Coturnix japonica: one gene and its partner. The protein of the gene in region 2 purifies or fractionates together with the protein of the main gene of each other region. This does not show direct contact. Links are inferred from orthologs where the notes say so. Each region holds a gene or a part of one and is shown on either strand. Other genes may lie near its edges.

Region 1 (3,655 bases), on a different chromosome or scaffold from region 2:
CTCCTTTTTTTTTTTTTGTAGCCAAAAGCTGCCCAGTTAACATCAGCATTCCCATATCACAATTGCAATGAAGCTCTGGTAAATCTGGTACCTTTGGATATGCTCAGCATCACAAATACATTGGATATTTAACATAACATAGGTTTGCAGCTAGCACAGTCCACCAGAATATTCATCTTCTTCCTCATCAGCATGAGAGCCCACTGTGGCTGGTCCTCTTGTTTTATCTTGTGTAGCATTTGGAGATTTCTTCTTGATTCCACCTCCCGGGACCACCAAGGTAAGACCAAGCTTGGCATACTAATAATAAAAATACAAGTTTACTTTCTGTACTATTACATTCAGCACAGAAAACAGATAGATGCAGCTTTCAGAGTATATTTATAATAAGAATAATAAAGATTAGAATATCCCCTGTGTTCAATATCTACTTTACTTTATGGCTTTCCTATCCTTGTACTTCCTGCTTATTAGTTAAAAGTGCGATCATTAAAAAAAAATATGGACTTCTTAAAATGGAAAAACTTTCCGTAACTAATGATTTGCTAGAGAATAAGCATAAAAAGAAAAACAAGCCAACATCAAACAAAGCCATCACATTCATTTTGTAATGCTTATGCACACATAGCACCAAATTGGTATTTATGAGATAAAACAAAGTTCCGGCCCTATGAAGAACCAATGAAAAGCAAACTGTGTTTTGGTCAATTAGACTCTTCAGACTGATAACAAACTGCTAGTTTACTTAGGCCTTCCCACCATAAGAATGTAACAGCAGTGTCAGACTACAGAAGTCAGGCAGTAAAGTAAAATAAATAAATAAATAAATAATAAATAAATAAATGTAAAGTTCACAAGATAAGATTACCAAGCAAGTCACAAAAAATACATAGATCCTTCTCTCCTTATTTTCCTAGAGTAGAAAAAAAGTCTCTCAAACTGAGCAAGCAAAAACTACCACAAAATTACAAATAATCTGCAAGAACCGCCTACTTACATCATTGTCCATGTATTTGAAGAGAGGCAAGTTACAGACTTCAGAAACTTGATCCTGATCTTGCTGATCATATCCTTCCAGAAGTTGCTCTAGTGCTGCACAGTCTTCACTTCCATTAAATCCAGGTATACTGAAGGAAATTAACAGCTCATTTAAGACATTTCAGCAATCTACTTGGTGCTCAGGTGGAACACAGATCATATCCATAAGCTTCAACTTCCAGCAACACTAGATTGCTGAGAATCAGACCACAATCCTATGAAGAGTATTAGAATTTTTCTATTTTTCCTGACTAGTCAATAAGATTTTCTTCCAATTGATATGCAGGAAAAAAAATATGTAATCAGTTTCTATATAAAATACAGACTGAAGACATAGAAAATATGACCAAGATGTTTCAAGACAGATCTTCAAAAAATTGCTTTGAAAAATAATGATTTAACTTAGATATCTGATCAAGTCACTTCACTTAAAACATAGTTTAAGTAAAAACATCATGTTTCAGTATTTTGTTACTGAAGTCCTAATGAAAGCTGAAACAAGAGACCTGCATGAAAGCCTCTGGAGTTTGTGGCTAGGAACATTAATCCAGACTTGACATCAGAAATTTCTCTTGGATGTATGAGGACTATGTTGTTCAATCCCTTCTATCAAAACGGATCAGTTCTTACTTTCTAAATCATCTTCCAGTTCAGACAACTATTAATGAAAAAATGCAAAAATAAAGAAATCTTGCTTTTCTTTTAACATATGACAAGAGCAAGTTCTACATCAACATAACCAGAAATGCAGTAACTCCCATACTACACCTTTTTCTTTTGTTACAACAAACCTTTAGATGAATATTTTCCTCAGTCTAATTACCATAGTACACAGTTCCAATGATTGTACTAGGATGCTACTAATGAGCGTTAAAACTGCATTCCACATTTCCATTCACAAACTACAATGAAAAGTTAAAATTAGACATTTTTAAGGGCTTCAACAAGACAGAAAGGTTTTAATAATAATTACAATAAATCAGAACATCCAGAATTCCTCATTTTTAATCCCAACTATTTGTTTATGGACGTTTGGTGGCCCTGCCAGGCAGGGGGGTTGGGATTTCATGATCCTTGAGGTCCCTTCCAACCCAGGTCATTCTGTGATTCTGTTTACAACAGGCAGCCCACTTCTGCTCCATTTGAAAGAGACATACAAAAGAATTCTAACCACAAGAGTATTCCTCTCAGCTTTTAACAAGGAAAAAACAGAAAGAACTTCTAATCTGCATCTCATTTCATCTGTTGCTCTGAAGTGCTTCTTTATGACTGACTTTATCACATGCTAATTACTGCTGAACCCACTACTGAAAGAGTGAAAAAATCTCCTGACAGCTGGCTACCTAACGGACAACGCTATTGTACTTCAAGTAAACAGACTTGGAGGCTCAGAACTTATTGACAGAGGTTTCCTTTGGTTTTTCATAATAGTTCTATATTAATGAAACAGTCAGCTTGAGATTTTAAAATATGAGGCAGACTTACCTATAGCTTTCCCTCACACACCTTTCTGCAGCAACATAATCATTTCTGTGAAGGTGAACTAAGACTTGAGCAATAGTTTTCTAAACAAAACAAGAAACACAGAGGGGAAAAAAACATAAAACAGATTCAATTTTAGAATGAAATTAAGACAGTTGGAACTACACTATGATAAAGTAGTAAGCCCCAAATCTTCAGCTGGTATGAAACAGTTTACCTCCTCTAACGCTGTAATGAACTCTTGCATCAAACTTGCTCGTGCTTTTTTCCTTATGTGATTTCCTACACAAGTCATATGTTGATTACAAACTCAAAACAATCAAAAATTCTTATTTAGGACACAAAGTAATTATTTCTACTAAGAATCCTGAATAAATGACATCAAGGTAAATGCAGATGAGAAGACAATCCTTGTGAAAGAAAAAAGCAATATAAAAACATCCACAATTCTCACCCATCCAGTTTCAAAATAAATCAACTCACATTCCAGAAGAGAAAACTGGGCTTATTCAAATTAATTTGAAGGCTTGTATAGCAATTATTATAATTCAGTATTTTTGATAGCTTCCACAGATAAATGGCATCCTATCAACATTATAGCAGTGAAAAACAAGAGGTCAAGGAAGCATGAACAACCACACATTCTCCTTATCTGGCAATCAATGTATCTCTGAATCAAGAGGTACATGATGTCAGACAGAATTCAGCCACTACTTTATGTTAGTTCAGAAAACCTTGAAATATCCCACCAGAAATTATCATTTAGATTTTTACCTTATAGCATGTTGGATAATTTTCAATTTCCTTATAAATACTTTTTTCCTTTTGAAGGGACAATGCAGCCTCATCCAATCTAAATTGAAACAAAAACAAGGAGTACCAGTGCCAGGAAACAAAAATAATGAACCCAGAGCTCATAGTGAGCTGTTTAATACACATGTGAGTTTTCCTTAATAAGAAGCAACATAGCTAAAATCAGCTGCAGATCTTAATAACAGCAGTTATATATAAGGTCAGCAATCCCTTTTACATACATGAAGGCTAACATCATGTTCGGTATTAATTCAGACCCAGCTTTTCACAACATCATACAAGATACATGCTTCATAACACACTCTGATAGATTCCTGTATGT
Region 2 (3,655 bases):
AGAAAGGCCTAATTTATACTTACTGAATTAAAATGCTAGCCTTTTAATTGTCTGTTTCTGCTTAGATACTTGAATATATTCCCATCCTTTGTAAGAAACCCTGGGTTTTGTCTTTAAGTTGGCAAAAATATTTACAAATTGTTCTTTAATGTTTCAGTGAATCTTCTCAGTTGATATAAAAAATAAAAAGTTTATATATATATATATATATATGTTCAATATCATTTTCTGTCAATTTTTATTGTTTTAGAATTGCTAAGCTAAAAATCATAAACTTATGTTGGAAATGTCTGCGCACTATTAAACTTTCTCTTCTTCCTCTTCACAAACAGCTGCTGAAATACAGAGAATACTCAGTCAGCTTGGAACACCACAAGACACACATGAGTTGAGGCAACAGCTGTGAGTATTTCACATGAAAATATTTAATTTCATTGCATTGCAGACAGTTTCCAGGGATATGATTAGATATGGGTTGTTTGGTTTTTTCTTAGGCAAGGTGCTTGTCCTCACTGAGAAAGGCAGGTATAGGGAAATATTTGAAATTTACACGTTGAGGTGCCTTTTTTTATTCTTATTTAATTTTGAATACTTTTGGTGCACTGGTCAGGTGGCATGAACGCATGCGTTGCCTACAGTATCAATATATGTACAAAATTTTTGCTGTATGTTAGCTAAGGGAAAGCAACAAGACTAAAAAGCAATGTTGTTGTTCAGTATCTCTCCACTTCTCAGCGCAGTCTGATGAACCAGTAATATTATTATTTTCTTTTTTAAATCAGCCTCCTTTACCAGATAAAATTCAGCAGCATAAAAGCAAATAACCATTGTGTTGTGCTAACCCTATGGATGGGAAAGTTGCCAATCATTACTGTGGCTATTGCTGCATATAGTTGGAATAAAAAGAAAATGAGTAGCAGGAGGAAATATGTATTGAACCAAAGGCATTATATTGTATCATATATGTATATATATGTATATGATATGTATATATCATATTGTGTGAACAACCAGCTTGCTTCATAATAACCTGAGCTTGGAGCTCATAACAATAGCCAGGTACAACCCACAGTGGATGTCCTGCTGGAGATCGAATGCATAAAGATCAACATATGTGAGTTATGCAGTAGCAGGCAAGATCTAAGCATAATTTCAAAACTAAAAGGACTAGAAACTGCTGTGAATTATAGTCCATTTAGGAAAGTGCTAACATGATAAGTTTCCTTGAGGTTTTCATCTATGGTCATTTCACTGGTCTGAACGTTTTGCCCTTCCCTTCATGTAATGAAGTTGTCTGGGAGAGTTATTTGATTGCTTTCAAGTATTTATGTTGATTTTTGCGAACTGCTTTCCAGTCTGGGAAAGCAGGTAAAAAAAACTTGAGTTACTCCAGGAAAAAAAAAAAAAAAAAAAAAAAAAAAAAAAAAAAAGTGAAATTCATAATGAAAGTGTGTGGTAATAGCAGAAGTGAAAAGAAACATAAAGTGCAAGTAGAAATGATGCTGAACACAAGGCTTTTTAAAGCACAATTTAAGTTTTTAAGCAATTAATTAAACTTTCCTGTTAAGTTCACAGCTGTTGTGTCATGGGAGAATACAAATCTCTGGGTATGCTTCCCAATGACTATCAGGAATTGGCTTTTCATGGATTATGTTCATGGAGTTATATTCAGGTCCAGTGTTCTTCCATACAGGAAAAAACTGTGTCCTTTATACAGTTATTCTGAACTTCTTTAACAAAATAAGAGCCTGAAAAAGATGATGGAAAAGCATCTTTAGTTATTCACAGTAATTGGAACCCTGTTGCTGTGCATTAGGGAAACAATTACAATATTGCAAAAAGAAAAAAGTGGGAAAGGTAAGTAGCTGTGCTGTCACACTGAGAAACATTCCCTCAGTGTCCATGTCACCTGGAATCCACGGTGATCTGTTATGATTTTGCACTGAAGAACAGTAGAAGGATGGCATCATGCAGTTCAGTGAGTGTTTAATACCACTGTGTTTCTGAGAACTGGTAAAACTCCAACAAAATTAGCCAGCGGTCTCTAATGAAACTTTGCATTGTTTTTAGGCAACAGAAACAGCAGTACACAAACCAGCTTGCCAAAGAAACTGACAAATACATTAAAGAGTTTGGATCTTTGCCTGCAACAAGTGAACAGGTATAAAACCAAAGAATATGGCTTAAAGTTTGATTATCATGTTGGCTCATATAGAGTATTTGAGAGACTTCAGTTCTGCATGCCCAGTTTTTGTATCCTTCATCTGGCTTTCAAAGCACTGTTTGGTCACTGAGGACATTTGCATAGTAGGGGCAATTACAACACAGTATGTTTTGCTGTATTCCAGACTTGTTTCAAATATGTTTTTAAATATCCGAATTGAGTTTGACTGAGAAGGCAGGACTCAAGACAGTACATTGTGCCTGTGATTTCAGCTATCTGGGCACTCAGTAAACTGTAGCAGTGTTGCTGCTGAGTTTAACTCATCAGTTTTGAGTGCTTCCAGTGGTCAGGAATTACTGCCTACCTTAACCATGTGGCAGGTGATCAGATCTGTTTGCACAATGTCCAAATAATTTTTGCAGAGCAAGTCTGATCTGCATAACTCAAATGAGCAGATATGCTATGTCTTGTCCACAGGCTTTTCTTTTCTTAAGAGGGATGGACAAGAGCTGTTACTAGAACGATTTGTGCAGCCTCTGAGCTGCTTCATTCCCATATCTGTGAGAAAGACAGGCAGGAGCTTACATGCAAAGTAGCTGTTGTCATTAGCATGCTCTCAACTTTCATCCTTTGATTTCTTATAGTAACAAAATCCAGGACTTAGATAAGGGAAGAGCAATAGGACGCCAGAAAATATGAACACAGCTTATTGCCACTCAGACAATTTTTCTGATCTGTGACTTGTTAGCAAGGAGCGCTTAGGAAAATGAATTGTCCTGAAACACTCATTTCCAATGGCAGGCTGTGTTCCATGCATGCTCTGCCTGTTGTGAACTTCTGGTAGAGTTAGAGTTTGGTCTTACTATATAACCTCTGGTTGAGGCAAAGATGTTTTTTATTCTTTGTCTTGTTGCTGAAAAGTTGGCAGTGGGATATTTTGCTGTTTAATTCTAATCCTTTTATCATGAGCATTTTCATCAAACACAGCACTAGATGAAATACACAGATGTTGGGTTGATGAATGGCAAGTTATGGCCTCTCACAAATTTGGAAGGCAGGGTTGGTATAATGGATATATTTAGGGAAATAAAACTGAGGCTTTCTGATGTGCCTGATATAGCCATTCCTTCCTTGGCATCTTCCTCAAAAAAGTAAAAATAAAAAGACTCGAAAGTTAGAGTAGCTATCTTCCTAACAGATTTTAAGGATTTGAAAGGGATGTGCGCCCACTTCTGGTTGCAGTTCAAAGTACATTTCCAGTGTTTATGTACAATACATGTGGAGAGCTTTGTCCCTGCTCATTTCTTATGCTTGAGCACTATTTCCCTCATTCATTCTGCTTTGCTCATTTTAGATTTCACAGCATCAAAATGTTTCACACTTAACCACAAAGTAAATTTAGTAATCAGGTATCCTTGTGTCAGTGTGTAGTACATTGTATATGACCTGCTCATTTCTCATTTTCAGCTGTTAAATGAACTAAATATGTTG

Evidence for each region. The genes of interacting proteins can lie anywhere in the genome.
Region 1: the proteins of STX7 (region 2) and NAPG purify together in Homo sapiens (affinity purification with mass spectrometry; 3 studies listed by BioGRID and IntAct, counting the BioPlex papers as one, with this or other methods). This does not show direct contact. The link is inferred for Coturnix japonica from reciprocal best matches to the Homo sapiens genes STX7 and NAPG.

The regions. Positions count from the first base shown.
Region 1 is NC_029517.1:88,353,745-88,357,399, forward strand, and holds part of NAPG (gamma-soluble NSF attachment protein), read right to left. Parts: intron 3,374-3,655; coding exon 3,295-3,373; intron 2,604-3,294; coding exon 2,524-2,603; intron 1,128-2,523; coding exon 998-1,127; intron 301-997; coding exon 151-300; 3' UTR 1-150. UniProt on the Homo sapiens protein: Required for vesicular transport between the endoplasmic reticulum and the Golgi apparatus.
Region 2 is NC_029518.1:51,543,034-51,546,688, forward strand, and holds part of STX7 (syntaxin-7), read left to right. Parts: intron 1-332; coding exon 333-402; intron 403-2,070; coding exon 2,071-2,161; intron 2,162-3,655. UniProt on the Homo sapiens protein: May be involved in protein trafficking from the plasma membrane to the early endosome (EE) as well as in homotypic fusion of endocytic organelles. Mediates the endocytic trafficking from early endosomes to late endosomes and lysosomes.